2 linked regions of the Neurospora crassa OR74A genome follow. The protein of the gene in region 1 purifies or fractionates together with the protein of each later gene. This does not show direct contact. Links are inferred from orthologs where the notes say so. Each region holds a gene or a part of one and is shown on either strand. Other genes may lie near its edges. The genes, in order: NCU00225 and NCU06226.

Region 1 (16,859 bases):
CTTCTGTCGTGCCTGGCGATGTTATCTTTTGGGGTTGCTTTGGGATGAGTCAAAATAAAAAGGATGGAATTTGTGGTTCCCCTGCAATGGACTTGGAAGTTGAGAACTTGAAGTTTGAGGAAATTGAATTGGGCCGCCTTTCTGTTGTGCGTGATGCCCTGGACTTGGAGTCAGTCGATTGATTTGTGCTTGGCTTTTACCTTGGTATTCACCTCCAGGTACTGTGACTACCGCAGTACGCATGATGGTTGATAAAAATTAGAGAAAAGAATCCCCCCTTTTTACGATCGAAGGTTTCCCGCATTCTTCGCGGTATTATTCAACTCTCACTTTTCACTTTTTCCCACACCAGTCCCTCCCCCAACTCCATCTCACTCACAAAGCTCATCATCTCCGCAGCGAAGTCGGTCCCTCAGGAAAAAAAAAAAAAAAAAAAAAAAAAAAAAAAAAAAAAAAAAATTCCGAAAAAAAGGAAGGAAAAAGAGAGAGATCGGTAGAGAAAGTCAGGGAAGCCTCGTCCGGGAATAAAGCCGGCTATAGTGCTAGATTTAGTGTGAGAACTTAACTTTCCCGCGGACCGCAGCCAGGAGATGGAAAATGTTACTGAGAACAAAAAAAAAAAAAAAAAAAAAAAACACTAACACGGTGTGGAGAAACACCGCTTACTTCTAAGGACTGAGGTACTATGCAGTATGTAGCCTTCCATGTTCGGTGATAACAACCGAAGAACGGTATGTACTGCACCTACACTAGGTAGGGATCCGCTATCCTAATGTAGTCCGCAAGATCTTCAGGTTCTTGTCGTCCCTCTCATCTACAATCTCTCCACCGAACTTTTCCTTCTCCACTGTTTGGGGAGCCCGCTGAGCCCGCAAAGCCAGTAGTGCCCGCCAAAAACTTTTTGCGGCATGTGGACACTGACTGACTGACTGACTGACTGACTGACTGACTGGCGGAGGAGGAGGAGGAGGAGGACAAGAGAGTGGAGATTTTTTTAAACAAAAGCGAGGTAGTATGTAGGTCCGCGGTCCGGTTGATTTGTGGAGAACTGGGTGTCCCTCCGGTGGACGACCGACCGGGGCTGAGGACCTACATATACATACACTACGGAGACGGGAACGGGGCTGATGGATGGAGAACGGGGGAACGGTGTGGGGAGGGGTGAACAAGATGACTGCCGGTTGGGATGTGAAAAACACCGGGATGGAGTGGTCGGAGGCGGCATGGAGATATTAGTAGATGGGAGGAGCTCATGAAGGCTCAGTGAGCTTGATGCCAAGGTTGGGTAGAGGAGCTTTGGGAGGAGGACACGACATGGTGGAGGGATGATATGTGATGATGTGAGATTACCTTTAAAAGTGGATGGGAATCTCCGAATTGATGAAGTGAGTTGGGAGTGAAAGTAAACAACGGGAACGAGGGTATTGGAAATTCCAGGCGAGTGCGTTCGAAGACTGTTTGTTCTGTTGGTTGTCAGAAATGTCTGGAGGCATAGAAGGTCTCAAAGCGAAGCGAATCCGAGCATAGGTAACGAGAATGTCCAAGGGAACAGATTGACAGTTCTGTAAACACCTTTCTTCGGTTTGGAGGATGCTTGACGGCTTCAACATAGCTTGGTCGAAGTAAACCCGTCATGGTATTAGTCTGATTTGTGGCATGATGTAGCAAATACACAGAAGAAGTGTCCCGCAAGATCAATTTGAATTTCGAACTTAATCAAACGTGGCGTTATTACCGATAGACCTTCGTCGTGCATCAATCGCTGATACTTTCCTTCCACATCCACCATTTATGTCTTCACATTTGAATGCTGTATTGGAACGTCATTGTCATTTTCCAATGCAAGAAGCCTTTGGAGGTTTTTGTTGATACGTAATATTTAGATAATGAGAAAGACTACCATGTCATATATGTGGGATCAATATAGGTTCCAGCTTCGTTGAATATAGCACGATCCAACACAAGAAGCTATGAAGGAAAAGCATGGTGATAATGAGGAGGAACCTACCTATAAACAGGCCGTCGAGTCTAGCAACTGTCGGGTATCATGGTTGTTCTCCAGGTTATCTACCAGTCCTTTTCTCGACTTAAGCAACATCTAGACGGTGTCTAGCCCTACAACTAACATTCCATCAATAACAGATCCAGGTGTGCAGTAATGCTGGTCCGTTATTAACCGTCTATTGTTCTGAGTTCGGACCTATGGAGACATAACGTTGCGTCCCGACAGGCCGAAGGTTGCATGTGGCCCTTCACAATTGTTTCCTTTTGATCAGCAGTACATTTCTGCTGATGTCCAGCTCATGATCCTGAGATGGTGGTGAGCCTATGTGGTTTGGTTCCCCTGAAGTCACTCCCGCCTAAAAACTGCTGGTTGGGAGATGATACATTGCTGAGCTCAAGGTATCCAGTACACGATCTCCAGGATTTCCCTTTGGTGGTGTTCGAAATCACCCTCAGTCGATATCTCGGATAATGTAGATGGACGCCACGCTGGCTCCACGTGCCGAAAGAAGATGTGACATATCGGGCGTCTTCAAAAGGTAGGATGGTTCCGTCTGGTCATGTAGCTCATGGGGTAAGCCATGACACATAGATACTCCATTCACGACCAGCATGTTGCCCCTCAACTCCCATGTGTCCCATTTGTAGTGTAAGGAGATCCTGGGAGTTCCGCGTACAAGTCACTGCATAGTCTGGACCGGTCTACCGCGTGATGACCGGTCCGGAAGGAATCATCCCCGGGTTAGGTACGGAACTGGAGTCAAACGGTGGTCTGGGGATCCGCATTGTTGAATTGAGTCCAGTGAAACCTCAGTTCCACACCGAAACGCTGCTGCCTGTGGAAGTGTGCATAGTGACTTCTGGTGGAGGCGCCGATGGTAGCCGTGTGTAGCCAGTGGACTTCTGTCAGCCCAGCCATCATGACATATCGACCTGCCCTTCAGCAATGCTGGGTTCTATCCGCTGAGCATCTGGATTCGTATTCTGCACCATGAAACGCTTCGAGAAGAAACGGGATGAGCATGAATGGTACATACTTTCCTGTTCCTCCAACCTGTCCAGTGTTGGAGTAGTGTAGAGCCGCAGCGGGAACCCTTCCATGCTTCCGCTTCGACAAGGTTCGGGTCGCCATCCTGGCCGTGCCGCTGAGGCGTCACTCGGCACGCTGACCGGTGGTCGCACAGATGTGACAAGCCCACCATCACGCTTTCATCACTCCTACCTCCTACTACCTCTTTCAATCGGCCCTGATGCTTGGGGAAGACTCTGGAAGGTTAAATCAACCCGAAGGCGGGCAGATTTATTTGAACTCATTTCGAATTCTGGTGGACAGGTTGCAGGGCAAGCCGAATGCAGGATGAGTCACACCCAAAGGAACCGTCGATCTCGTTGCCAAATGACAAGCTACCTGCTGTTGGACGACTCTCAAAGTCGGGCACAGCTCTCTCAACACTCTACTGACCAGCTAAATCATTCCTCTTTGGGAACTTCGTTTGTGTAGCTCCATGTAGAGCCGAGCGTTATTTAGACAAGAGAGATATTCTTTGAAGTCCTCTTTCCAGGCAATCTGGAGCAAATCGTGACAAGTATGTGGGCTCAGCTCGAAATTCTTGACCTTGCGCTCACAACGGACGTTGCGAGCATACTGCAAGTGAGTATCGTGAAACTTGGTGAGCTGTTCGTTGTCGGCGGAGGTGTCGAAAATGGGAGTGTCCTTCAAGCTCTTCTTTCTTTTTGCTGCTTCGTAGAGCCTGCGGCCTCAATACAGTGTGACATCTTTTCGAGATTTCAGCCATAGTGCTTGTAGGCGCAAAGTGTCCTACTTCTATGCTTTGTTTGTCGAGACCTCCACATTTGCTGGTTTGAGCGGTTGACATGTGGCTTTTGTATACATATTTGCCTGGTAATAAATAGACTTCTTGTCTTCCCGTGAACTAACACTCGTATCAAGCAAGACCTGGGAGGTACACGTTAATGAGGTGGGTTTGATTGCAACTTCTACCGACCGGGTTCTCTCCTATTACCCAAAGCCTGAGCTGTGGCTTTCGCTCACAGATGATGTACTGGCGTGTTTGATACAGTGGACAGAAGTATAACGTTAGAAGTGCTTCATAACAGCCTCCTCAAACATCCCTTGCCGATATCCAAGAGTAGGTGCATAATGTGGCTCAAACCTAAAGATGAATGATCGACAAACTCCTGAAGACAGATTTCGTGACCAGAACGACTTCTACCGTCAACGACTCATGTGGCTGCCCCGGTGTTTCAGAGTGTTGTGGACTTTGCATAGCCTCAGAGCTAAATATCAGCTCAAATGAAGCAAATCTGTCATGCCAAACAATGGCGACCAGGCTAGATAATGCTTCTCATCCAGTACATGCCCAACTTTCTCTGGCAACGCCGTGGAGACATTCTTAGTTGTCAAGAAACACAGAGACACACTGTTTGATACAACGCCTGTAAGTTGACTTCAAACAATCTGCCATGACTAACACGAAAGACTCGATGTTGGGTGAAAAGCAAGACACGAGAAATGCAGTAGAATCTTGAAAAGGCAGATGAAAAGGAGAGAAAGGAATTGCAGAGCTACACAACAAAGAAGGAAGTCGACTTGCATATTGATCATGATGAAATGGCTCTCCGCGACTTGTTATCCGTACAATAACTGGATTAGTTGATACCGATATCTCAGGTTAACTAACCTACAACAAAGAGACATTTGCTGATGGCTATCTTCCATTCTCGATGCGAGGACAGGACTCTAATGTGGTAAAGGTTATGTATTTTGCAGATGTATGTCCATCTCCGCCTCGAAGGGCCACGAGGAAGTAAACAAGTGTGTTAAAAAGGGGAGCTTCAATTCATGAATTCAACATCCATTGGCAACTGCTTCGACTGGCGAACGGTACTCGTCCTAATATAGTTGCTGTTTGAGCTTCGTCGCCACAGCGTCCACTCTCTGCCATGACTGTCAGATGCAAACCAACGGGTGAGTCCATCCAGAACCACACTTGTGGAAACGCATGCAGAGCCGCTGTGATTTGAGGGTGATGCGGTTCAACAGACACGTAGAACCTATACAACTTCCAACACTGTTCTACATCATGGCATATGGCAGACTTTCCAGAGAAGTCTTGAATGAAAGGAAGTAAGATAGAAGTAGGGGTTGGAAAAAAAAAACAGAAAGAAAAAGAAAAAAAAAGGTGAAAGGTCCACGCTGCATATCAAACTGCTCAAGTGGTCCGTGATGACCTCTCCAATGTGGCCGTGATCAAGCACCTGTTGGCAAGCCGTCAAGCACAGCAACCAAGGTAATACTTCCCCAAGAAAGACATGACGTCCGGTGTCTAAAAGCACGACGGCAATGCGTGCCTTTTTGGCATGAAGTCCGTTGACAGGAAGTCCGGGGTGCTTGAGGCAGGTCCGATCTCATAGAAGGCTGTCACCTCAGCAGGAATGCGTCAACTTGGCATATAAAGCGGCAGCTTCCGTCAGGTGTTTGTGACGGATGTGTTTCCAGTGGTTTGTTTACCTTGGTGACGATGATGTCTATGGTCGTGAGTGGTTGTCGTCGCAGCTGCAAACACTCTGCCAAGACTTGCCGGATTGGGAGCAGAGCTCAAACAGGCAAAGTTACGGCGTGTACGGATCGATACGCACGTCACATTGGTAACAAAGGGCAGGCAGCGTGCAAAGTGGTAGCCCTAACCACCAATAACAGCGGCGCACTGAAATTTCACCAAAAAGCCAAAACGGCAGTCAAAGTTGGAAGCGGGGAACAGCGGCAAAGAGGGCCAGAGCAGGGCCTTGGAGGGGAGATTTGGTGCAGGTGGGCGGGGCACGAGCGTCTCTGTGATCCGTGCCACTGCCAAAACCTGGTCCGAGCTCCCTGTGGCCCGGGAGCGATTTGCCAAAATCTTTTACGACACCACAGCGAGCATCAGACGTCGTTGTCGCTGTCGTCCGCCCCCCCTACCCAACCCCGTCTAGAAGAAGCGCATTGAGTCAGGCCAACGTCCTGTCAAGCGCAAAGATGTCGGTCGCTTCCAAGGTGTGTTTATCTCTCTCCCCGTCAATCTCCGAAATGGCCGGTTTCACGGTCGGCCGAGAGCTGCATGCTGTGCAGCGGATATGGATGACCCCGTGGTTGGACCTCGCCGTGAAATGAAACTGAGAGCTTCATTTTTGTTTCCGAGCGAGTCCGCCAACACCGGCTCCTTGCGACAATTTGGGATCCGAAAGAGGAGGGAGGCTTGGAGAATGGGGATCCAGACGCACAGCGAGCAGCAGCCGGCCATACCGCGAAAATCTAGAGCTCAAGACAGCAAGAAACTAACCGATTGCGATTCTTTTTCTACAGAACCTGTTCGATCTGCTCGGTTGGTTGCCCACCCTCCTGTGAATTACGGAACCCACGCGACGGCACACTCGAAATTGGCAGGGCGAGGAGGAACATTGAACACCGCAATCCAAGGAACCACCAATACTGACGGATCGATTGTTTTCATTCAGGCAACGACGTGGAGGATAACACCGCTCCCGCCGCCCCTGCTAAGATCGTCGAGAAGACCTCGACCCACACCACCAAGCGCAACTCCGATGGCGTCGCTCCCAGCAAGGCCCCCGCTCAGGGCTCTGGCCGTCGCTCTAACTTGACCGGCAACGAGGCCGGTATGTTGATCATCCAACATGCTAACCATGGCTACCCTCTCAACTGACATTTTCGGTCCCAGCTTTCCGCGACCGCAACGCCGGCAGCGACCGCAACCGTGGCAAGCCCACTGAGGAGGGTGCTGCTCGTGGTCCCCGCGGCGGCGCTAACGCCCGCGTCCGCGGTGGTCGCGGTGGCCGTCACCCCCGTAACACCTCGGATGACCGCCACTCTAAGTCCATCCCCTCGTATGTTCCGGTCAAGCAATTTCTAGCCACAGGCACCTCCGTCCACTAACACCCTGACTAGCGGATCCGAGAAGCAGGCTGCCCTTTCCTGGGGCGCCACCGAGGGCCAGGCCGAGCTGAAGGATGAGCAGGCCGCCGAGGAGATCGCCAAGACTGAGCAGAAGGAGGCCACCACCGAGGGTGAGGCCGCCGCTGAGGCTATCCCCGAGGAGGAGGAGGAGAAGCACGTCTCCTACTCTGAGTACCTTGCCCAGCTCGCCGAGAAGAAGGCCGCTCTCGAGGCCGAGGCCGCCCTCAAGGTCCGCAAGGCCAACGAGGGTGTCGTTGAGGACAAGAAGTGGGCCAACGCCAAGCCCCTCAAGAAGGATGAGACCGAGGAGTTCATTGCTGGCTCCGCCGGCAAGAAGCAGCGCGAGCGTGAGCGCAAGGTCAAGCAGGTCCTCGAGATCGACCAGCGTTTCGTCGAGCCCGAGCGTCCCGCTCGTGGTGGTGCCCGCGGTGGCCGCGGTGGTCCCCGTGGTGACGCCGGCCGTGGCCGTGGCGCTCCCCGTGGTGCTGCCCGTGGTGCTGCCCGTGGCGGTGCTCCCCGCGCCGAGAACAAGGCTGCTCCCATCAACCCCAACGATGAGTCTGCCTTCCCCAGCCTCGGCAACTAAATGCCTCTCAATATCGGCATAACGACCATACATCGAAGCCAGACTATTCAGTCACACGGCCCCCCCTTTATTTTCTCTTCGAGGCGGCAATGTCAGAATCAGGATGGCGGCGGGTTGGGATAAAAAAAGCAGCCAGCATGGGGTCGGTGTTCGTCTGTTTGGTTGCATTCACCTTTAGCGGAAAAGTGGTTCATGAACACCGGAACCGTGAAAGAGGTTTTCCTTATCTGTCCACCACTTACCGCGGAATCGAACAAAGTAAAACTGTTCAAGCTCGAAAGTTGAAATTGCGCGCGTTCGTATGACCTGGTTCCTCCCCGTATCTATCCCCTTTCCTTCCATGCATGAACGTTATACCTAGGATATATTTCACTTTTTACCCGGTTCAAACCGCAGACAAAGGATGGGATGGCAACCATCCAGAGGGCAAAAAGACACACACGCTATAGTCTAGGTGGCACTATGACATAGCTCGACCATGGCAAGGTCGTAAGAATGGACATAAGACAGGCTTGTTTTGGATTAACACCCAATATGGCATCTGGCAAAAGGCATCAGGCAGAGCAGCAATATCAAAACAAGTGTTTTGGATTCCTCTGGCAAAGGCACAACAAGCTGACACTGATCCGTGACTTGTACTCAACACTGTGTTGGCTGTTTAAGTGCACTTTTCGATGTCTCACTGGACAAGTGAAGTTCTTGCTGCACCGTGATCTTGAACTGACTGGTCGCCATAGGCACATAATAAGATGGAAAATCACTGACGATGATATTGACACACAAGTACTTGTAGTAGACCTTTTCATTTCCATTTCAAACTCCGAACTCGGCGGTTCTTACTAACCACCCCTTCACTATGACCTAGGTCCAGGTAAACAGACCACTCTTTTGTGTCCCTTTCTTGTCTTGTGCAAAACACCCTCTCCATCACAACCCCATGATTACTTATCCATATCACAGCCGCCATACCATACAAGACATGACCTGATGTACATTTCACTTCCATGACAACACTAGCGATATCTACCTTCAATCTTACAACCTTTCTCTCTCTCCATCCTCTCCAAGTTACATTCTCAACCTCGAGGTTCCCTCCCTCATCCTCATATGCTTCGAAGATGTGACACTGCCGGAGAACTCCAGTCATCCTGGCTTTCATATCTCAGACAAGCCAGAATCTGTGGAAACTTATGGTAGACTCTATGCTCGGTCCGACTTTGCACATCATCTAAGTAAGTGGTGATACATACAATCCATTTGCAAGAGACCTAGTGACGAAGTCTCCTGTTGCTTTCTCACCTCACGATGGATGATTCTAGATCCTTGAATACAACTCTGACAATCTGCATCAAGTTACATGCGCGCATCTGCATGCATGATGCTTTATGTCGGTGGTAATGCGCACAAACCCTACCGACAAGCTCTACAGAGTACTTGCTTGCACAACAAGCCCTACTTGTAGGTACTGCCAGGTGCGTACCTGAAAACCGAAGAACCCGAGTTTCCCGAGTATGGGATTATTCGGTCCGCATCAGACCGAGGGCTGGAATGTCGTCTTCAGTTCCCTGGAATAGATTCTGGTAGTTGGGTCGGTGAGAGTCCACGGAGCATGTCGTGTCACTCTATATTATGTCTTTCCTTGTCTATTGTCTTTTTTTTTTTTTTTTTTTCTCCAGGAATGTGTGTTGCGAACTTGGGGAGTGGAAGGTTTGGTTCTCGGGAGATGCTAGTTTCATACGAAGATGGGAAAAGATGGTTGGATGCAGAAACTAGAGAGTGAATCACCATGTCTTTGGAAGAGTAGCAGTACTCGATCACCGCTTCAACAGCGCCCATGCAACAGTACACATTTCCTTAAGCATGCACGATTCATATTCTCTGCAAAATTCATACATCATAACATCATCAACGACTTCCACCCTCCCCCTATCCTCGCCCATCTGGATCACACAACCTTACAACCGCCAAAACACTCAAAAGCCACTCGGCACCTGATGCCCATAGATCACTACTCCCCCCCTCTTCCTCTTAAACCCAAACCTTCCCGCATCAATCCCCAGACTGACCACCAACCAAACCACATTGAACCCAGCCATCATATAGAACGGCGTCCCCGTGCTCCACTCATCGAACCCATACCCGCCCGCCTTTGTCAGCAACAAGATGGCCGCACCTCCGCACCACGAGTAGACTCCCGCCACGGACCCCTTCAGCCTTACTCTCGACACCGTATCCTCCGGCAAAGCTCCCGGATTTTCTAAAAGGGGTGCCGTCTCGTTCCGGCTATCAGCTGGTTCAGTCACAGTAGCTACTTCGCTGTCCCTGTCGACGCGGTGCGGATGCGTGATGACGTTGACTACGTCCACCTTCAGCACACCTCGTCCTAGCGAGCCCAAGCTGCAGACGATGGCGCCAATTTGGCTGATGCCGATAAGTGCAGCGAGGAAGAAGACGACAGGGCTGCCGCCCCGCCCATCCTTGTCTTTGTACTCGGGGCTTTTAAGCTGGGGGAAGGCAATGTAGCCGGCGATGCCAAAGGTGGTGGCCACAATGATAGGGTAGTTGAGTCTATTCTGTTTGGTGAACTTGCGGCTAGAGAGGTAGCCGAAAAGAGGAGCGCAGAGGAGACCCATTAGTTGGGCGACGCCCGTGAGGATAGACGAGAGGATGTAAGCCTGGCGGCATTCCTTTTTCAGCTCTGGGGAAGGGTCGTTGGGCGAGCCTTGGCAGAAGCCGTTGCGGATGAAGAAGGCGTTGATGAAGAGGGGCATGAAGAGCGAGATGGCGACGGTGGAGGCACGGGCGACGAAGCCGCCTAGGTAGCCGAGGGCGATGTCGGAGTCGGTGAGGCCGAGCCGGATCGAGTCGCGGAGGAGGTGTAGGTAGGGATAGACTTGTTTGGATGAGTAGGGGGCCGAGTGGTCGTCGGTTCGGCGCTTGAGTCCGAAGAGGGTCCGGAATCCTTTGCCTTCTTCACCCTTGATGCCGCGGAGACCGAAGAAGACGAAGATGGCGACGAGGAAGGAGACGAGGCCGACGACGTAGTAACTGTACTGGACGGCTTGACCAACAGTGACGCCTTTGATGTGTCCAAACCTTGCCGGTAGAGGGAGGAAGAGCGAAAGAGCGAGGAGGGCACCGCACCCTGTGAAGAGCCCTACGTAGCCGGCCAACGCGGACGGCTTCCCACGTCCTTCGGGTTTCCCTTGGGTGCCATCAAATCTGAAGCCAGCTTCGGAGGTGCTGTGATCGCGGAACCGATCAGGGGTAATGGTAACCTCTGAAGCCACTGACGGTGTTATGCTATGCCTTGGGTTTAGAGGGGGGTTCTCGACAACATCTGTTTGCGCCTGGGTCTCGTCGGACAACGAAGGGAGGATTGCCGTGACCATGGTCGCCCTTTGTCACCAATGATGATTAGCTTTTGTCGTGGAACGCCGTGCTGAACATTACTTACGCAGCGGTAGCTCCAACAGCAAAGAGAATCCTCGCCAATAGCAACTGCGGGTACACATTCGTTGCTTGAACAAACACCAGCAGCGAGAGTCCAATAATCGCATAGCCGGTGACGGCAACATGTCTTACCCCGACACGATCAGACACCAGACCCCAGAAAGGGCAGGCGATCAAGGCGACAATTTCATCAACGAAGCCGAGAGTGCCGACAATGTCACCGACGCCATGCTTGACGCCGATCAAGTCGGTGATGACAAAGGAGACGCTGCTGTTGAGGAAGACGAGGAAGGAAATGCTGAAGAGGCAGATGCCCAAGAGGTAGGTCAGGGCTTGGAGAGGGGTCGTCGATGAGGAGAATGGGAGATGGCGGAGGAGAAAGGCACCGAAGTCGAAGGGCTGGCCGGGCCGGCCATCGGTTGGAGCCATTGTGTGGGTTCTTTGATATGGTCTGTTTTGGTGTTTAGTCTAAGTGCTGGGATTCCTATCTGGGCTGGCTAAGCAACCTAAGAGTGTTGATGGTTCGTCGATGTGTTTTGCTTCACATCGGTTCAATGTCACACGGTTTGTGTGGTCGTATTCTTCGAGGAAACGAAGCTTACAACGGCACTGATGGAAGTTCAAGCATCTGTCAAACAAATGTGGAATCACGAGTTATCGATTGCAACAAGGGAAGAAAGAGGTCGGAAGGGAGAAGAGCGGAAGCAGCATCGCGCAAACTGATGACGGCGCTGGCGTCAGTTACGCCCATCCAAGGAATCATCGACCGGGGAACACAGCCAATTAGAAGAGCCCAATCCCGATTTACATATGTACACTACAACCCTGTCGCTATCAGGGCATTTGGCTCGTGCAACCCTCGTGCAACCCTTGGGTTCAGTTTTGGACCGCGTCTGGCCGCCGCGCTGCGACATCTGCCCGCCCCGCAATCCGGTTCAGAGCCCCTCCTCCGCCGGTGTTCGTCTTTTTCCCCCGTCAACTTCTGGCCTCGGGGCAAAACGACATGAAATGACATGAAATGGCCACTAACGGTGCCAGATCCAGAATCCCGTCTGACTGTCTTTCGTCTTGTGTAGGTCATTTCCTCATACTCCCTCTACTCAGTAGTCCGCCCAGTCAGCCAGTACATGTGCAATGTACAAAAATGCAGGCGGGACAGTGATACGGCACATCATCTGGGGTCCCGTTCCGGGGTCCTGAATCGAGACCGGGATACCTGGCCGTCCCCGAGATCGGGATCCGCTTTATTTTTGCCGCGACCGGGGAAAGATAACAAAACCCTCTTGTCAAAGGAGAGTCGATGGTTTGTTTCAAGCAGGAGTCATACACCGCTTTGCTTTTATTTCCATTTCGGTCTTCTTTCTTGACTACTTTTCTCTTTTCCTGTTTTGAAGTTTGTTTTGTTTGTCTGTTTGTTTGTGCTTCTCCGACATCGTCGCCGTCAACTCGCCCGTCAGACAAGACACACAAGTGTCGTTCAATCTCTTCTTGTCGCAAAGAGAGCGCACTATTCACGCCATTAAACACTTCTTGACAAAACACCGTCTTCGACCCACCCCAGAGCACAAACAACCATGTCCGCCTCTCTGCCCGGCGCGCGCGCGCTTCCCGACTCGCAGTATGACTTGAGCACCTACTGGGGCCGCGTCAGGCATACCGCTGGCCTTACCGATCCGAGGTGAGCATAACCGCATCTGAACTGGGGATGGGACTACAAGGAGGGAGGAGGAAGGGGCCGGAAGAGAAGGGCGGTACATGCTGCCTAGATGACGCATTTGCGACCTCCTGTTGGCGCAAACTTTGGAGCAATGAAGGGCTGGATTCAGGACGGGACAAAGAATGTCTTGCTAACGTGCGCGCCATATTCGCAGGACGCTTCTCGTTGGCAATGCCGGTCTCGAGCAAGCTAAGCAGCTCCTCGTCTCCTACAAGCAGGGACAGATCAAGTCCATGACGCCCGACTTGTGGCAGGCCAAGAAGCTCGTCGACTCTACTCTCCATCCCGGTATGCTTCATCCGCCGACATACTCCTGAACGCATGCCGTTGCGCATGGCTGCGTCGACATACCTACAACCTAAGTCATTAGGAGGGGAAAAAGACACATAGGCTCACAAAATATGACATAGATACCGGAGAAAAGGTCTTTCTTCCCTTCCGCATGTCCTGCTTCGTCCTTTCCAACTTGGTCGTAACAGCCGGCATGTTGACCCCTGGCCTTGGCGTAAGTTGAAAACACCTCCCCTTCCCTACCTCTTTCTCCCTACATCTTCCTTTTACTAACTCTTTCCCCCAACCAGAACCGCGGCACCATCGCCTGGCAAGTAGCCAACCAATCCCTCAACGTTGCCATCAACTACTCCAACGCCAACAAGTCTTCCCCCCTCAGCTGGTCCAAGATCGCCCAGTCCTACTTCCTTGCCGTCGGCGCCTCCTGCGGCGTGGCCGTCGGTCTCAACAGCGTTGTCCCGCGCCTCAAGTCGCTGGCGCCCTCGACCCGTTTGATTCTCAGCCGTCTGGTTCCGTTTGCCGCCGTCGCCTCGGCCGGTGCCCTCAACGTCTTTCTCATGCGCGGCGAGGAGATGCGTACGGGTATTGACGTGTACCCGGTCCTGTCGGCCGCCGACAAGGCCAAGCTGGTTGCGGAGGGCAAGGGCGAAGGAGACGTGGAGAGCCTGGGTAAGAGCAAGAAGGCGGCGACGATTGCTGTGGCGGAGACGGCCGTCAGCAGAGTGCTCAACAGCAGCCCGATCATGGTTATCCCCCCTCTTGTCCTGGTTAGGCTCCAGGCTACCCAGTGGTTGAAGAGAAACCCGAGGTACACGACCCCGATCAACCTCGGTCTGATCTTGGTGACCAGCTATGCCGTGTTGCCGTTGGCGCTGGCGGCGTTCCCCCAGATGCAGAAGATCGAGGCGGATAGGCTGGAGGGAGAGTTCAAGGGTCGTGGTGGTCAGGATGGCTTGGTTGTTTTCAACCGTGGTATTTAAGAGGCGGCAAAGGGGAGCCGGTAGGTTCTGGTGGCATGGGTTAATTCCCTTTGTCTTGAAGATGGAGGACCGTGGAGGAGTGTGCACACAATGGGCAGCATAGCCTTGGAGTTTTCTTGTTCATATGGCAGCGGCAGCGGCGAAAAACGGCGGCGATATCCTGAAAAGCTATGTTGATTTGGTCAGTTCTTTTTTTCTGCTTTCTTGCCTCTGCCCTTCTCCGTTTGGTTGTGTTGTTCTTTCTTTTGCATTGTGGGTTCGTTCGCGTTGCTTCTGTTTCCCTTTGCTTGATGTCATAGCAATCATGGCGTTTTGGTCATCAAGAGGTGAGTCCTACAAACTCCTCCTCCATTACCCCAAGAGAGTACTAGTTGCGGATTCGTTGGCCAGGCATCTTTTTGACAACCCTCGGATGTTCCCCCTTGGGTTCGGTTTCGTGGAGTTTGATCACTACAGGTATGCATATCCAATACCGCTACAAGCTGACAATGCCGATAAGCACCGGATGCAGCTGGGGCAGAGTCCAGGGCTTTACCTAGGGTCCGGCACCCGTACCCTACCTAACCTCACTCTCCTATTTCCATGACGTACACCTACAAAGGCCGTCCCCCTCAAAAGCAATCAACTTTTTCTTTGGAGCCTCCCCTCCAAGAATCTTTCCGCAGTGCCTTCTTGTAATTCCGATCTATCTTTCCCGAAAGCAACGGGCATTATCTCCTCCGGTCACCGGCTGGTTTTCACCGAGGCTCGGCTTACCTTGCCATGACTGCTCTTCAAACTTGGTCAATGGTCACTGAGTAGCTCCTTGCCTCCGCCTTGACCCAGTAATGCTCTGTATTACCTCACCTGATGTTACTTCTGATCTCTTTACAAGCTACAAGTTGTGCTTCGTGGCACTGCTTGGTTACTTGACACTGCTTGACATGCTTTTGTCGTGCTTCAGTCAGCTTCTTGCTTCATCGTCTCCTCACTGCAAATTTGGGCCTGCGGCCTGATGCCGCAGGTTAGGCCAAGCTGGCCTTCTTCTTCAAATTTCCTGTTTGTAACATCTCGAAACATCATGATGGTGGTCAATTTTCGTGGTTTATCAACCGTCGAATGAAGGGCCTGTAGTTGGCAAGGCCCTGGAATTGATCTGGAGCTGTACGACCATCTGCGAGTGCCGCTGAGATACAGCAGCAGCAATTGTTGTCGAGCATCTTCACAAATTTCCTTTTACAACTGCCATGACTGTCGACTTTCGTGTTATAGCCACCGCCATGGAAGATCATTGACTTGACCTGGCCTTGAACCCCGACTTGCATCGCGACCGGGCTTGGACCTGAACCTGAACCTGGACCTGGTACAATCTAGTCTTTGGCCCTGGATCTAGAGGCTTGCGTGACTTGAGACAAGTCATCGTGGACCATCTTTTCCTGGTTGGTTTGATTTTCCTCAGCAAGAACAGGGCCGCAAGCTTGAAGTGTAGGAGATGGCTCTAGTTTTTGCTCATACAATATAATACTGGTATGTTTATCAGTTTGGTTCTTCGGCTATAGGTTGAACAGGGGAAATATAGAGCTCTTAGTGGCTCCCTTGGAGTTTTCGTTTGGAGCGACCAACAATGACTAGGGTGTAATACGCCACAAAAGCCTCTTCTTATGCCCCCATCCGTCTCCTTAAAGACCTCCAAGCTTGGATAATATAAAAGGGTAGTTCCTTTTCAGTGCCTATCTGTCTAAACATCGAATACTTCTTCACTTTCGGGGCTCTCAAGTAGAGATGGGCGTTTTTTGTACTAAACTAATAAACATATCAGGGTTATATTGTACTTAATGACCTAGTTCTGTGGCCCAGACCACTTCTTGTTCAGCCTCCTTGCTGCTCTTAATCGTAGCTTTTGTTTCCGTCGACGTGAGTTGTATCACAAGCCTGTGTGTTGTACTCTTCTAGCAGGATATGATGCTTGAGGTCGTCGACACGAGAACATAAGCCAAAGGAGCTTTAGTGGCTGAACAGGCATGATACCAAACTACCACGTCTATAATTCTTCGTGCCGTTGCCCATCGGCGAAAGGGTCCAGAACAGAGACCCTAATTGGAAACGAGCAGCTGACATTTGTGAGATGATAAGAAGCAGCAGAGGCCAATCCACCCTATAGAGCATGCTCAAACTGTAGAGTCGACGAAAGTCGATACCAATAGCCAAGAGGATGGTAGATGGCAAGATGAAGTTGTTGGCGGTAAACTTACGAATTTCCTTATTACAGAAGTTGCTTGATCTTATTCTATTATGGCTTCTCCCATCATGGCAATTCTATTGACATAGAGGTGAGGGTATGGATGCTCGAATTAATTACAACACTCGATATCTGGAACTTCGAGAAGCGGAATTGTACGCTGATGCCAACATTACCACGTTACCTCGTTGGATTTACTACCTCCAGAACGGTAAGGCTGTAAGACCTCTCAATCATTGTTAGCAAGCTTTTCGATCTATCTGATTTCCTTTTTAGGGAGATATTTGCCTCGCAGCAGGAATATAGCTATGCAGCACGATCGAAGGTCAGGAAGGAGCAGAGGACATCGTTTCTTCACATCAGCTTAGAACAAGAGGAAGGCGTAAACATGCCCACTTCCCAGAGGGACAGGTGGTGCCCTAAGTGAAGTGCAAGGACACACTTTCCCGTTTCACCGGCCCGAAGAGTACCGATATCATCGGAGATAGAAAGCAGTGGGCGGCGGTAAGCGCGGCACGGACATAGATGCATAGGTTTTTCTTTTTGCCACTCCTGCAAGGACATGTCTTCCGAAACCGGGATTGACGAAGAGCTTACTATGAAAAGAACAGTTTTCTCAACTGAAAATACTCAGAGGCATG
Region 2 (16,192 bases), about 1.1 Mb from region 1:
CGACATACTCCCACTCCCGATATGACTGAGAACACCAATGTTGTGGTCATCCGATCTATCGGCTCCCAACAACGGTCGAGTCGAGTGACTTATTGTTAGATGTCGTGACTGATCTCGATTGTGTGCGTTCGAATGGTTCGCAAACCTTAGACCAAGGTAATGGCAAAGTTGTTGCGTGACGAGCCAGAACGTAGCTCTTCCTTGCGAAACGGCCTGTCGTTTCCAACCTGATCTGATGTTCTCCTCCACAGGTAATAGACCAGCCGTTGGGTTGTCTTGGATTCCACCATCTCGTACCCGATCGATTCCATAATAGCCGCTAACCTCTCTTGATCCAGATATCGCGAGTTGGTGACGCATGGGGCCGGTAGCACAAGGAACAAACTTGGAAAGAATGCAGCGGTTGTCCCGGAGAACCGCTTCGGCGATGTTAGAAATTGTGTCGTGCGGACCAGCATCTCGCCTCTGTCCTTATGGTCTGGGACAAAGTTGAGCACCAAAGAAAGGCTGATGATGTCAAACTTCTCCGACTCGTCCTTCGGCAACGGGCGCTCCATGAAGTCCTGCTCAAGAATCCCAGGCTCTTGGCTGTTGAGATCGATCCGAGTGATGTCGAAATGGTTACTTTGAGCACATGCGTTCTTTGTACTCAGCGCTCCAACTTCCAGCATGCGCAAGCGGCCTTCCTTATACTCCTCGGATGAGAGGTACGGCCCAACCCACTCCATGAGCACGTTGGAGCTGTCGCCGCCTCGGTCATGTCTCTGCCCCTGGAGACTTGCTTCCTGATATTTCTCGATACCACCCAAAGCCTCGATCTCCGCCTCAATTGCCGCGACCTGTGTGTTATCGTTCTTCTTCATAGCCTGCACCTTCCTCTTCTCTAGGAGATGGAGTTTGTTGATGATGGATTTCGTGGTTTTCCGCGCAAGTGACTTGGGCTTTGTGACCGTGGGCGGACGGCCTGCTGCCAGGTTTTTGACCACTCCCTTTTTCTTAGGTCGCGTAGCCATGGGCGGACGCCCAGCTGCAAGGTTCTTGCTTACTCCTTTCTTGGGTGCCATAGTCCTTCGTCGCGTGCTATGCTGTAACAAGTATATAGCCGCAAATAGTCGATCTTGTCGATACTGTGATCCGTCTCGGTGAGATTGGTTTTCGATTTCGATTGGTGGTTCGTGACACTGTAGTTAGCAAGACAACTACACCACGTCCTTGTCTGGAGGTCGTGATAGGCACAGAACAGCGAGGCTTGGAGCTGTGAAAATCCAAGGTGTCCTGCACCGACTTCATCCGACAGACCACGAGCAGAAGGAGGAAAGCTGGATCGGAGGGCGCATCATGACCTTCAAGGTTGAATGACGGAGTGCGTAGCGATAAAGTGATGATCGGAGGTCGAGATTCAAAATACTGTGGAGCATATTTCGCGAAAGTGGATATTCTGGTGTGGTTCAGAGCCCGTTTGCGCCAGTTTGCGCAGCTCAACCCCTGCCAGTACCACTTCAGCCACACTACCAAGCCACACAAATCCCGCGCGCACACTTTTTCCTCCCCCAAATTTTGGCCAAAAAGTGAACTTTCTCCTCTCCGACAACGACCAGCGAGAATCCCGATTTCTTAGCCCGACGACAGCAGAAATCGCAGCAATGGCCCCTAAGGATACCAAGAAAGGTACTTGAAGAAACCTCAAAATCTCACCAGCGACGATTCCACCAAGAATGAATTGAACGGCTCGACAAATATGCTCGCCCCGCGCACAATGCGGATCCTCCGTGTCGCGCAATGGCATTCGGAGGTGATGCACCAAAGCAGCAGCAGACTTTGCGAGTTTGGACAAGATTCTGGCATCATCTTGCTCCAGGCGAATGCTTTTGCTGACGAGGGACTCTATGGATAGGCGGTGCCTCTAAGGCCGGTAAGGGCGCTCAGGCCAAGAAGGCTGCCCAGGCTGCCCTCAAGGGTGTAAGTTTGCGACGACTCGCGATCCCTTCCCCCCTGGTGACGTTCTGATGCTGATTAGAGTTCTTTTTCTCTGTTTAGGTGCACTCGCACAAGAAGACCAAGGTCAGATACTCGACCACCTTCCACCGCCCCAAGACTCTTCAGCTGTCTCGGGCTCCCAAGTACCCTCGCAAGTCGATCCCTCACGAGCCCCGTCTCGATGAGCACAAGGTCATCGTCCACCCTCTCAACACCGAGGGTGCCCTGAAGAAGATCGAGGAGCAGAACACCCTCGTCTTCATCGTCGATGTCAAGGCCAACAAGGCCCAGATCAAGCAGGCTCTCAAGAAGCTCTATGACATTGACACCGTCAAGATCAACACCCTGATCCGGTTAGTTTTGGTCCCTATGGACCGGCATTAATATGGTTCTTGTTGCTAACTCCACTCACAGCCCTGACGGTTCCAAGAAGGCCTTCGCTCGCCTCACTGCCGATGTCGATGCCCTCGACATTGCTGCCACCAAGCTCGGCCTTGTCTAAACTAGCGATTTCATAGCTATGGGAAATACACAAGATTCGGGATAAAAACTATCTTCAAGGGATACATGGGTTTTACTGTTTAACGAAAAAGAAGTCGGCGTCTGATACCCCTTTGGCGTTTGGTCCATGGCATGGAAATGAAAGTTTTTATAACTATTCTGCCCGTTCCATCAGACATGACCAAATGGGCCATTATCCAAACTCCTCCCTTGCAAGCCATAGATCTACTTGCTCTAAGACTTGAATCTGACATCTTGTATTCTTGCTATCACCATGGACTCATTGTCGCATTGTTATCTGCACTTCTATAACCAATTATCCTGCACTGCGCATTGGGTCTGTGTTTGAAGATGAAGATGAGTATCCCGCTATCGCGCGCTCCCATATCATGCTACAAGAACCGCCTGTCATACTGTCTAAGTTCCTGAACAAATTCCCATGCCCTATAAACCCTTTTCCCTTCCAGTTCTACCTTTGATCCTTCCCCTGTCCCATCACATATATCGTACAAGCCTTCAGGCGTAACCGTAACAATTCCTCGAATGACTGTCTCTTAGAATTGTGACCAGAACCTCAATCGCAAGCCCTATCGCAGGGATCAACAAAGGTTCCCTAGCAAAGGGTGCTTCTCTGTACCCCCGTTCCGTCGTAGTAAGCCCGAGTGTACCAGACCCAGCCAGAACCACCATGAAAACAAGCGTCGGATACCTCGGCCGCATCCTCCAAGTCTCCCAAGAAGCCCACCAAGCAGGACCAGCCAACCGAAAAACGTAGCCAGCCAGCCCCGCGGGACAACCAGTTCCTCAAGGGAAACAAGTCACCGTTTTCGCCATCCTCCTTCCTCTGCCTCCTCTTTTCTTTTTGTCCCGTTCTCATCTTTTTTCCTCCTCCTGATAAGCATCCTCCCACGCCTTCCTATCGGCGCGCGAGACCTACTTGCTGCCACCCCTGGTGATCTTTTGCACGTGGGCCATGATGGTCAGGTTGACGTCCAGGAAGCGCTCAACGCAGTCCGCCATGCAGACGGCCTCGGTCTTGTCGAGCTGGTTGGTCTTGATGGGGGAGGTGACGCATTTCTTCCAGCAGGAATCGGTAAGGGCGTGGGTCTCTACACGTGGGAGGTAGCATGTTAGTTTATCTGTTGTACATAACCACTGGGAGGTAGAGTAATGTGGGAAGAAGCATATGGAAGGGGGAGGGGACAGAGAGAGGGTATGGTTTTGGTTATGGTTATGGGAGGGGGGAAAGAGGGAAGTGGTAGGTAGGCTTAGCGAGGGGCAATAAGCTGTATTTGGTCATGGTAGAGGGACGAGGATATGAATGAAGCACTGCAGGACGGAGCCGGAGATCTAGAAGGTTGTAGATGGTACATACGTCCTTGCACCCTCTGGCGCTGCGTCTCGTTGGAAATGAAACCGCGAAGCTCGTTCTTGTCCTTCTCGTTGAGGAGATCGAGGTCGGCCTGAGGAATATCCATTGTTGCTGTTTTGTATTGGGCAGGGTTATGTGTTGCGATGGTTATACAATAGTTGCTTAAGGTTGTGGTGGAAATAATTCGATATCAAGAATTGAATAAACAACCAGAAGAGGTTCGATATCACGTAGCGTGCAATTGGATTGGATGCGGGATGGACCTTTCCAAGCTTTTGGGCGGTACCTGCCTGCCAGGTGAGCACCGCGACCGGGGATGTGGATAAAGATTCTTTTGAGATGGGTAGCCAATGAGAGGACTACATTTTATCGATAGCTTTAGAGTATCTCGGCGTGCAACTGCATTCGAGTCGATTACGTACCGCACTTCACTTTCGCCACTACCGACTTTCAAGCCTTTGAAACACCAAGAATCGTAAAATTTACATGCTATCCAAGAACCTCAACGATGTTTCCTTCCTATGTAGAATGATAGGATCGAACAATACACAGTGACCACATAGCACAAATTCAGTAGAATATTCAGAACTAACTGCCCTCACAAGAAACTCAGCCTGAGTCAACACTATTATCAAACGTTTCGGGGTATCTACCAACGCATCTATGGTCTATCCCGTCAAGAAAAAAAAAACGGTATACAAAGCGATAGTACCGCCACACTCCCATGTTATAACAGCCATGTTATCGACATTGCTTGGCAGCCCTTTCCCTGTATACCAAAAAAAACGAGAAGCTATTAGAAAACGGTTCCACATTTCCTCGCATGAGACTCCAGCCCATCGTTATTTATATCAACTTTTTGTGCTTCGCAAAAATGTACGACAAACTGCAGAATGAAAAGAAAAAGGCCAGAATAACGTAGAAGGGGACCATAGTCTCCATGCCTCCCCATGGGACGTGAACGTTCATGCCGAACAGACCAGTCACCACGTTGAGCGGGACGATGATGGAGGCCAGCAGGGTGATCTTGCTGAGGACACGGTTCGTAGCAGTTCCCTGGATGATGCCGTCGATGGAAATCTGAGCGAGGTAGTTGCTGTGTGCACGAGACAGCATCTTCTCGAAATGGCCCAGGTTGGTCATCATGGTCACTACGTGGTCCTGGATGTCACCGAGGTATAGACCAATGTCCATACGTGGCGTGACTTTGTAGTTCTCGTTGCAGCGCTTGGTGAAGCCCCTGAGGACATCTGCTTTTCCGCCGAGCAAGCGCATCAAGCCCATGACATTCTTGCGAGCAATGCCAATCTTCTTCAAGAACTGAGCCATGTCGTCGGACCGAGCAATGAACACATCGTCCTCGATCTGGTCGGTTTCGTGCTCAAGTTTGCTGATTTCGGGAGCGAACGAATCGACAATGTCGTCACTACGTATGGGTTAGTATACGCGTCCATCGAAGGAATGGAAAAAGCGCATCTGCTCATTGCCATAAACTTACATCAGGGCGTAGCAAATCCAATCGCTACTCAATGAGACATAGTCCTTCAGCATCGTAATTCTCTTCCTCACATGTGAGGCATGGGAATTGTTGGCGTAGCTGAAGCTCAATGTGCCTTCGCGAAACACTACCACGTAAATGTTGAAGGGCACGTACTCCTTTTCCCCGGTGGTATCCTCTACCTCAATGAAGAACGATCTGAACGAGGCGAAATAGTAGGATGGGAAAAGCTCAATCTTCTCCCGGGATTCCTGCGTGGTGATATCCTCAATTGTCAAGGGGTGGATGCCAAAAGCTCTGCAGACGGCACGGACTTCTTCTTCGGAGGGATTGTTCATATTGAGCCACCAGACTCCATCAGTCTCCCCCTTTGGGAAACTGAAAAGCCCTCTAATGTCCTCCCCGGGCAAAATCAAACCCTCCAGGTCGGCAGCGTGGATCGTGGATTCCCAAGCTGAGGAAAAGAAACTGACCCGGCTCTGGTCAACCTGAGGTTGTGGCGGTGGTGGAGTCCTTTTGGCCTCGGCATCGTCGTCTGTCTCATGACTCTTTTCCCGCCGAATATCCGTCTCCGAAGGGGCCGAAAGGATATCCCCATCCAGTGTTACCATTGGTACGGTGGGGGTAACATCGGGCTCGGCAGGCCGCAAATCGGGGAAGACACGGATGGCCGAGGGGCGGCGAGCTGACTGTCGGGCTTCATTCTCAGCCTTGATAAAGGTCTCCAAGTAGTGGAAATCGATATGCAAGTTGTCATCCCTATGATCATCTTGCAAGGGGAAGCAAACGTCTTCCTCCGCGGATTTGTTGGTGGCCAAGCTGGCGGTGTCATCAATCACCGTCGGCTGCTTGCTGCGGTAGCTACGGCGACTGACGATAGAGTTAGCCCGCTGCAGCTCGGGTGGCTCTTCGACTCGACGCTCAGGTCTCGTTGGCTCGGAGAAGGAGAGATCTCGCTCCCTTCGGCGTGCTTCCGCGAAAGCCTTAACCGAGTTCGGGGGTGAGATAGACCGAACATCTAACACAGCAGACTCTACAGTTCCTCGCCGATCTCTCCGATAAACTGGCGAGTTCTCCTGATCCTCCTCGTCAACAACAGCTTCCTCAAAATCTCGGATCCTTGTGCCCTGGAACGAATCGCTGCGTGTTGGGCCCGTCTCAATCACCTGTCCTGGCCCGTATAGAGAATCGAATGTTCCGCGTCGAGGACGGTCGGGTCGTTGGACAGAAACGGATTGGTTCCGGTGGTCGTCAAGTTCGGGCACCGGGGTTGAGTACCCGGAGTTCCCCACGTTTTCCTCCTGGTCAAACATCGTTGCGACAAGCGGAGTCGCTTCTTGGCTGGGTGGGTTAAATTAAGTGTGATATCGGTTGTCTTTGCTATATCGTCGTTGGTGAAATAATTGAAGGGTCGGCTATGGCCCTCAACGCCCGGGATGGGGGGTGATCAGTCGGTTCGCATATTGTCGTCGAAAGGTCGACTCAAAAGGCACCAGCGGATGGCAGCGAACGGCCAGGAGCCGTCCGCGACGATGACCGAATGGCGCAACAAGAAGGGGGACAAAAGGGTGTCGTCGTCAACGTCGGCTACCAAAGCGCAAGATCGGAAAACATAAATTGCAGATGTTTGTTCAAAATGGGAAATCTTGGTTCGAGCGATGTCGAATTAAGGGGGTTTCTTGTCCACTCCACTATAGACCCAGAAGCTGGGACCTAGGAGCGAACGAACAGCCGAAACGCTTTCACGGATAGAGCCCGCCAACTTGATGACTTTTGCTGGAATGACTGGCGGCGGCGGCGGCTGAATCGGTACGTGGCGTGATAGGCGATGGCTGATGTGAGGCCTTTCTCAGCAGCAACCAAGAATTTTTTCGGATGAATACGAGGTCCGACGAGGGAAGATTGAGGTAACGAACTCGCGCCGGGCTGGGGATTTGGATCGGCTGATGGTCAATGAGGTCGAAGATCCGCCCTTTCAAAACCGCCGAAAAGCCCAAGAAGGGATAGGAGTAGCGAAAAGACGAAGGTTCTAACAGAAGCCCGAGAAATGACGTTGCTGGGGAATGACGAGCATGTGTCTGCGCATCAGCAGTCTCGGGGGGGGCCACCAGCGGAGATACCTAGAGAAGGGATGACTGGAGTCGGCGTCGTACTCTGTAGCACAAGCTAATCGAGTCGGATATGTTGAACACGGAACCGCGATAATGAGGTTGTCGGCGTCGAGTGTTGAAAGGTGGAAAAGGGTCGAGGTCGCCGCGCTAAGTTTTTTTTTGGGGTTTGGTAAAAAGACAAGAGTGGGACGGAAGGTGCCTGACTGTTCGTCGCCTCCACACAAGGCGTCGGGTGGTTCCGAGGAGACCTTTTAGTTGTGTGCCGTCCTAAGGGAAGGGTCCAAGTTCACGGGGCAAAAAGCGCAACGGAAGGAATGATCGCTTCTGGCCCGATGAGTTTCCCTTTGTTTGGAGAGTCGTTTCAGGGAAAGCCAGGGTAAGTGGTTGGTTCAAGCACGTGCTAGGTTTATAGGTAGGTTTAGATAGGAGACGGACAAAGGCAATTCAACGACACTTTTCCATGCTAGCAAAGAATATTATGGAAAGAGAGGATGGAAAGATTTACGGTAGATTTGCCCGTTCGTTCTTAGCCTCTTGTACAAGGTTAGGTCCCGGCGGTGTTCCTCCTTGTCAGGTCGCTGGACTGCAAGGTGAAGGGAAGCGGTCATCGGACGCCTGACGCACCAGCAGCACCCTTCGCCGCAAGACATTGTAGTCCGTGTGTAACCTTTTAAGGATCTTCCCTTGTTCAGCAAATGTTCTCGAAACTACCTATGATTCCACGAAAACAGGAATACGGTGTTCTGATATCGAATCGTCGATGCACAATTGAGGGTAGCTGCCAATCAGCTAGCACGGCATCCCCGACAAATCGGCCTTGGAAGTTGGATCCTGATCTCCCGCGTTAGATTTTACTGGTTTCAAAATCTACTTGCAGCACTGCTGCGTCGTCGAGAAGTCCCCCACTTTGCTCACCACCTTCACGTTTCGTTTCCATTCACTTCCTGTTGAATCCTTTTCCGGCTTTCCACTCACAGCACGCAGGGCACTTTGTTCCCTTTGACTGCGGGACGTGGATCTGGGCGTTGGTTACCTACCTGTAGGTTGTGATTTGCCCACTGCCAAGCCCAGCCGAGGCCGTGTACTGTCGTGGTACGGTAGCAGTGCCACCCAGTAGTAGTAGGTAGGTAGGTACGTATTATACACTACACCTTGTAAAGCAAGTACCCCTAGCGTACGGCACGGGCAGCCTAAAGGAGGGCCCGACCGGGGCAGGCCCCGAAGCAGACACGTTGAAGTAGAGGTACCCAGCATGGGCATCCAATGGAAGTGGAAGCGTGATGCGATGCGCTACAGTAGTATGGTGTACCTGGATGAGATCTGATTTCCTCCCATCCATGCAAACCTCAACACCTTGATAGAACCCCAACGATAATCATACGCGCGTTTACAACTTGTAAAGCAAATCTACCACTCATCACTGTCTAAGATCCAGTGTTCGACGCTCTCGACAAGTCGAACAGCTGCCCCGATAGCCGCCCATTCTCGAACCTCCCCGGCATAACACTTGCCTCACGATGGCTGAACAACTGCTGGATCAGGTCCGCGATGTTGCCGAGGGCCAAATTGTTCGTCATTCTCGTTCAATACCCGTACCAGTGTTCATCTTGTATACGACAACTCAGCTGACATCTGCGACATTCAGGATTTCGAAGGCCAGAAGCTGGTGGAACTTCTCGTCAACGTAACTCTGGCGCTTACAGGTGTATGTTGTCCCTTATTCAAACGCAGCCGGCGCCTCGCTGACAGGCCTTTGGTCATCAGGTTGTCTCGTTCCTCGTCGGATATATCTTGCAAGACATCAAGCTGGCGCTCCAGATCGGACTTGCCGGAACCGCCCTCACCTTTATCCTCGTCGTTCCTCCGTGGCCGTTCTACAACCGCAACCCTGTCAAGTGGCTACAAGTCGGCGGCGGGCTGGTACCGCCACAAAGCCTGATCGTAGATGAGAAGAGTTTCAGGTAGACTGGCGTTCTTGTCGCATCGTCGCACGGTTCAGGTGTACGTCCGCGAGAAAGGAGGTTGAGCAAAGCAACATCATCAAAGTATGATGCGCCGGCCATGATATTCATACTGCTGCACGGTGAAGCATGCTCGCTGAGCCATGCTCGATCTGGCGTGGCCCGCTAGCTTACATTCGTGGAAGCCTCTTAACGTGTGATACTCCCTGGCTTATGCTATCTAGACTTATGAAAATTCGCAGACGTTGTCTTCATCCGTGTCTCGCCCTTCAGCATGGTCGAGTAGCCGCAAACAGGCATCCAACTCCTGATTTCCAGGCCTTTAACGGCCGTATTTCTGGAACTCCCAATCTCTGTTGTCGAGAGGGCATACTTGACGCGCCTTGAGCCATCTCGAGATGCAATGGAAATGGAACGCATGCTGTGACATTGCCGGTTAGTCATCGGGCTCCAAGGATCAAACAGAGAACAGACCAGAAGGACCTTACATTGCAAATACCCCACGCAACCGTGCATTCTTCTGAGGTGGCCGATGACTGGTTGGCCTGGCACTCAATACCTAAGAGGATTCAAAGTTCAAGGTTAGTCCAAAGTCGGGTGTGTCCAATAGTCGGTTGTCAAGAGGAGAGTGTAAAGAGGGGACTTACACAGATCCATGATATGGTTTCGACAGATGGCACAGTTGTCGACGACAATATCCCAAGCCCAAAGGGCCACCGCGTTCCACTGTAAACATATCTGTAAGCGCAAGGTCATGACCATACGAAGGGGTAAGTGCTCACCTTCTTGACCTCGAACCGAGGCTTGCCATCTGCCTTCTTCCCCTTGCTCTCGGCGGCGGTGTTCTTCTTGACAACGGGCGCAGAGGCCGGGGCGTCGGTCATGTCGACATCCGCCATGATGAAGCTGGTAAATAAAGCCCCGGGTGTTTAATCGGTCGTGGCGCAATAGTACGAAGAAAGTGCTGCGACGCAGGCGAGCATGCGCAGGATAAGTCGAGGGACACACTGAAAAGCTCGACCAGTCGATGGAGTAAAATGATTCGTTTGGACGAAGAGGCAGAGTTCGTAAGTAGTCTAGAAAATTTCAAAGCAGCCGTCAGTCCGTTTGCCCGTCATGCGGTGGTCGGGATGATTGAACTATGAAAAGAGTCTGAGGAAGGCGAGGTAAACCCGCCTGGGCTGTAGAAAGGAAGGCGGAAAGCTTCTAGGCAGTTGAAAGGTATACCTAGGTAGTCTAGAAGGCTGAATGCGTACCTCTACCTTCCCTTCGAGATAACGTGAAGTGCTTTCAGTTGCGGTTACTCAAATAATAAGTATCGCCACGTCCTGGGTGTTGGGTGACAAAGTGAAGGTAGCACAGCTTGCCCTTACTGTCCTTAGTTGTTGTAGGTATGTTGATCCCGTCAAGGTTGCCTACCTAGGCATCTTAACCAGCACTAAACGACGGCGGGAATGTCAGTGGTGTGGACGGGAAGCTGCACACTGCTGCTTGATTGCAATGACGCTGGGGATTCTGGGCAGTGATGCGCGCGATAGGTGGACCAGTGAACCGCCTTCAAACTTGGCTGACCCCGCTCCCCTAGCGTTTAGAGTCATGTATGTGTTAGGCGCATAGCATCTGCTGCTTTTTGCGGTGGCGGCTGTCAAGTGTCAAGGTGTAACTGGTAATGAGGCTATGCTCGATTCAGGACGGGAGGGAAATGAGAACGTGTAAATGATAACGGCCAGAGAAGAGGAGCCGGGCTGGTGACCGGTCAAGTACAGCCCCAGGCGGTCAACGGCAGGGCATTGCACCGAGCGCTGGGCTGTGCTTCGTCGTTCGTGCGCTGATGTTGATTCCCCCGGTGCTGGAGGCCGGATCCCCAGGTTGCCTCCATCACCATCCCACCTCTTCCACACTTCCGCTTCTTCCCTATTGTCGCCGCAGCGCAACATCACTTCGGAATCACAGCGACAAACCACCACACAGTTCGCGACAAGAACAACATGCGCGAAGCTATTACCGTCAAACTCAGTATCGCCAATTCGAATAGTATTATTTCCCGCACCGTTGTGCCAACAGAGATCACCGCCACCACAGCCCGTCAACCAGTGACAGCCGTCTCGTCAGGCTCCGATCGCATCCCCTTTTCCCACGTCCCTATCTCGTAGCCGTCAAGTCACCACTCGCCAGCCAGACGCCACGTCCAACTCACACCGGTTTCTCACCCAGTGTGTCATCGCTACTCGCCTCCATTGCACCCCAGGTCGTCGCCCAACATTTGTCTCGCCAGTTCGCACACGCTTCAGTTGTTTCGCGGAGGAAGGCACCACGCAGCGGCCCCTTGCTTCTACATTACCTTTGCATACCTCTTCGTTTGAACAGAAAACAAAGTCCAAGCGCGACTACATTGTGCGCTGCCTACTTGTGATGCAACGAGAACAGCAACAAGACCAGCCGGGACCCCTCCCAAAGGCAACTCCCGGACGACGCCGCAACAACCGCCATGCCGGCAACGCTGTCGCTCGCAGAACATATGCTTCGGAAAACGACATGCCGTCTGAAGGCTCCTATCCGATTAACTTTGGCCCTGCCGCCCCGTTCACGCCGCACAAGTCGGGCACCAAGTCGGGGACAAACAGCCCGGCTCCGGAACCCCAGGCAAACGGCTCTAGGCCCAAACCCCGTTCTACCAAATCCTCAAGGTCCAACAAGCAGGCGTCCACAACCTCCCCGGCATCGACACCGGGCCCATCCAAGAACTACCGGACCAGTCCTCCGCAAACAGCGGCTCTGCCCAAGTCGGTCTTCCCCCCTGCCTTTGCCGGTGGTTCCTTCCACGCCTCCCCGGATCCGTCGGCGCTTCCGATCCCTAGCTTTCTTGCCAAGTCGATGGACTCTCCCAGCGTCAAGGATACCGGCCGAGCCAACTCGGAGCCTTCGCCTCCAGCCACCGACTCGGAAGCACCCACACCTCAAACCCGTCTCCCCGTCAGTGACATTTCCCGAGAGGAATCTCCACTCGACTTCTTCTTCCGCGCCGACCGAGCCGAGAAGGCGAGAGCTCGGAGCGGTAGTTCAGCCAACATGTACGCTCATAGCCCGAGCTTGTTCTCGCCCCAAGGACAAGGCCTATCACCTCAGGAACCCCGGACTCTCCCTACTGGCACGAGCCTACATGGAGCCCGGTTACACCATTCGGAGCCAGCCCAGCCGAATTACTCGATGGGCTTCTCTACCGGTGAAGTAGGCGGAAACCCATGTCGCTCTATGGGGCCAGCTTTTTCGAGACCCTACCAGGATCGCATTCGTGATGCAAGGTCGAGCGAGGGGCACACTGGCGTTGCCTCGAGCGTTCCTCGGCAACATCAGCAGCAACAGCAGCAGGAACCTAATATGGACCCTAGTGAGAAGCTCAAGAGATTCCTTGCAATCCCGGCGATTCGAGATAGTCAACCGGCAAATCAACCACCGAGCCATCCGGCGAGCCAGCACACGTTCCCAGGCCACTTCCGTGGCGGTGAGCTTCATGGCAGGCAACCACCACCACCTGCTCCATTTCCTCAGGCAGTCGATCAACAGCGGTCCGCAGACATTCAACACATGGAGGATAGCCTTCGTCGGATGCTGAAGCTCGACTCTCCGGTGAATATAAGGGCATCGGCAACTAACTATCAAAGCTCTTGATTCAGGCGTACCATCTATTGTCCATACCGCCGGAGGGTTTACCTTGTTGTCACATGAGTGTCGACATGTAGCATTTTCTTTACTTGTTGCACATTTCCTTTCATATCCGTCATCTTAATATCAGGCGTTGGATGGTGACGGTACGATTCCCGGACTTTGCAGATTTTACATGCATGCGTCAGCGATGGATCCGGTGGATTTGTGTTTGGCATTGGGTCTGTCCGATTTGTCGAATCACTGGCGTTTTGGAAGGTATCGATGGTGTACCGACCATGATTTCCGGGTCTATGCCGTCATAGGATAGACTGGCTCTTGAATCTTTTTTCTTTCTCATTTCTTATGCTGGCTAGCATATCAGCCTATGTTTCGGGCTCATTGTTATCTGTGTTGCTTCTTTTGTCTTTTTTGATTTTATTTTTTCTTTTTTCCGTCTCGAACATTGCGAGGGCGAATTTGGGTCTATGTCATTCAACATTTGGTACGAGTGTGGTCCATTTGACTTGCTGCATTGCGGCATTGGTTTTTGGTGATACCCATACCGTCATTGGGAGTTGGGCGGGATTTGGACCCTTATTTTCATTTGCAGGCGTGGCCTGTTGTACGAGGGGGGTTTTGGTATGATACGCATAGAATCATGGGCGTTCAACAAAGGGGGAACTCGGAGTTGTCAAGAATCGGACGACGTTTGGAAGACCATCATATTCGGGGGTTTTTTAGGAAGTCAGGAAAGGAAAGGCACGAAAGGGACCCTACGCCAATGGGATCCGTACATACACAGCGAACTATACCCGGTACTTGCACGCCACACACCACGACACATTATCTAACACGCACGTATACAACATATAAATCGAAAAACAACCAAAAAAAATATTTTTGGAGGGTGATATATGGTTTGCCAGCTTAGATAGCACAAGTAGTTAGACTTAGTTTCGGAATGTCTCAAACCATTTATACCCTCCACCACATTGGTTCAGCCAAACTCTCATTGTCTGTCAGCTGTGCAGGACGAAGTCGGTGGCTGATTCTTACCCAGTTCACTCGGAGGACATCGCGTAGAATCATTGGAGGTCATAAAATGTCCAATCGTACAGAGAAAGCGGCCATGCATGGAAAATAGAAAGGGTGTAGTGACTACCAACAGGTATCTGATATTGACATCCGAGTCTGGCTCTCGGATCAGTGATAACCCTAACCCTTTTTGTGTTGGATGTGCACAGCAGCGTCAACAGACAGGAAACGATCGGGTGCGTGGACGTTGAACGACGGGATGACGTGGAGTCGCGAAAGAAGAAATTTGGTGAAAGTCGATAGAAAGAAACAGCGAGCATCTTACCATTTCAGTGCTGATTATTGTCGTCGAAGCACCATGATGCTCGAATTTCCTAGATGCTGAGTGTCCTGACAGTCCTCATCTTCAAATCGCATGCATGATGAGGCCTCTGCTTCACATTCGTACACCCCGCTTTCAATCGTCTTGTCCGACAAACACACTCCCGCTCTTGCCTACTACTAGTTTACCAACAACACCTTGGGAGTTTTTTCCCTGACTGAACGGAACGGCTATCCTTTGTTTTTTTTTTTTTTTTTTTTTTTTTTTTTTTTTTTTTTTTATCTTGCATGACGCGTTTCGTCTCAACATTCATCTTCCACTCTCCTAAATTATTTCGCTCTCTTTTTGTCGCAGCTTTCTTTTCGCAGTCACATCCTACGCACCTTGGAAATACCATTTTTACGCGTCCCGCCAGGATCTCAGCCCCCGACAACCTTTTCGGTCGTCAACACTATTTTTCTCAACCAAACTACTTCTCTTGCTTCTGCACGACTTCACTTACGGCATATGCAATGGCCGGCCACAAGGGCGGCGCACGGTTCAATGATGCCGAGGACATATCCGATGACGAAGCACTGCGCGTCGCTATCGCTCTGTCACTTGGTCAGGATCCTGTCAAACCGCGAGCTGGTGGGAAGTCAAGCGCTACAATTGACCTAACACAAGACGATGAGGACGACGATGGAAGTCTGAGTAAATCAACCATTCAATCAAAGCCTGCCGCCCAGGATACCAAATTATCCCCACCCAGCAAACAAGCATCTACCACCTCTGCGCAGGCACACAGTGTATCAGCACTTTTCGGCCTTGACAGGAAGAAGATGGAAGAGGAGCGTCTCGCTCGCTTGAAGAACAAACGACCAGCTTCATCAGCTTTCGAATCTCCCAGTCCGACCACCGCCCGTCCCCATCAACGTTCAAAAATGTCGACCAGTAGCTACCACAATGCTACTGGTCCACAAACAATTGCCGATTTGCTACTGCCTGAGTCTGATGGAGACGAGACGGCAAGCTCTCAAGGGTCCAGCAGTTTGCCGGTCACGGGCCGCATGGTCAAAGCCGGGAAGCAGCAAGCAAATCCGCCAGAGTCAGGAAAAGGAAAAGTGGCAGCAACGGCAGCAAGTGCGGAGAAATACTCCATTGCCGGCACCACAAGCGGTAGTAGACCAAGAACAGAACTATCGTTTCCTCAAGGTGCAGTCAAGAAAACGTGGGTCCGTGGTCAAGCGAGGAAGGGGGACGACATCACGATCGAAGAAGTCTTTCAGAAGGATAAGCTGCAGTTGGCAGTGTTGAGCACGTTTATCTTGGATGAGGCGTGGCTGTTCGACAAGCTGGATTTGATGAAGACCAAACTGATACTATGTCGGGGTGCCCCTAATCAAGGGGAACAAATCAGTGTAGGTTCAGAAAATCGGACACCTCTGGAAGCCCCGAGGCAGGCTGGCATGTTTCTTCACCTCAAAAAGTCATGACATGGTTAACGTGTTCCTTTTCTCATAGACCTGGTTGGATGGATTCCCAACGGTGCGGAAGCATCTTGTTCCCATGAACGGTTCGGGATGCATGCATTCGAAGCTTCAGCTGCTCAAGTACAAAGACCATCTTCGCATCGTTGTGCCCAGCGCCAATCTGGTGAGCTTCGATTGGGGTGAGACGGGTGATATGGAAAACGTGAGTCTACTACTTCCAGTTATTCTTGAGCCGCGACAGTTACTAAAGGCCCCCTGCAGATCCTGTTCATCATTGACCTCCCTCTCCTTGATGATC

What was found.
Region 2: the proteins of NCU00225 (region 1) and NCU06226 purify together in Saccharomyces cerevisiae (affinity purification with mass spectrometry; 4 studies listed by BioGRID). This does not show direct contact. The link is inferred for Neurospora crassa OR74A from reciprocal best matches to the Saccharomyces cerevisiae genes STM1 and RPL25.

The regions. Positions count from the first base shown.
Region 1 is NC_026503.1:3,070,690-3,087,548, forward strand, and holds NCU00225 (hypothetical protein), read left to right. Parts: upstream 1-5,879; 5' UTR 5,880-6,037; coding exon 6,038-6,055; intron 6,056-6,364; coding exon 6,365-6,383; intron 6,384-6,516; coding exon 6,517-6,675; intron 6,676-6,737; coding exon 6,738-6,903; intron 6,904-6,964; coding exon 6,965-7,559; 3' UTR 7,560-8,339; downstream 8,340-16,859. Other genes in the region: NCU00224 (hypothetical protein), read right to left, coding at 2,457-2,664, 3,042-3,136; NCU00226 (MFS transporter), read right to left, coding at 9,533-10,958, 11,017-11,441; NCU00227 (mitochondrial cation transporter), read left to right, coding at 12,587-12,690, 12,884-13,017, 13,140-13,234, 13,311-14,000. UniProt on the Saccharomyces cerevisiae protein: Ribosome preservation factor that protect a small pool of nontranslating, vacant ribosomes in cells under nutrient starvation conditions.
Region 2 is NC_026503.1:1,952,438-1,968,629, reverse strand, and holds NCU06226 (60S ribosomal protein L25), read left to right. Parts: upstream 1-1,467; 5' UTR 1,468-1,643; coding exon 1,644-1,668; intron 1,669-1,894; coding exon 1,895-1,959; intron 1,960-2,037; coding exon 2,038-2,330; intron 2,331-2,391; coding exon 2,392-2,479; 3' UTR 2,480-2,970; downstream 2,971-16,192. Other genes in the region: NCU06227 (hypothetical protein), read right to left, coding at 147-1,064; small zinc finger protein Tim8, read right to left, coding at 3,412-3,587, 3,854-3,956; NCU11312 (CorA family metal ion transporter), read right to left, coding at 4,697-5,276, 5,349-6,661; NCU11313 (microsomal signal peptidase Spc12), read left to right, coding at 8,977-9,027, 9,105-9,164, 9,224-9,424; NCU06224 (RING-box protein 1), read right to left, coding at 9,637-9,841, 9,909-9,979, 10,068-10,146, 10,203-10,231; NCU06223 (hypothetical protein), read left to right, coding at 11,409-11,569, 11,635-11,710, 11,788-13,089; NCU06222 (tyrosyl-DNA phosphodiesterase domain-containing protein), read left to right, coding at 14,935-15,822, 15,926-16,096, 16,156-16,192. UniProt on the Saccharomyces cerevisiae protein: Component of the ribosome, a large ribonucleoprotein complex responsible for the synthesis of proteins in the cell.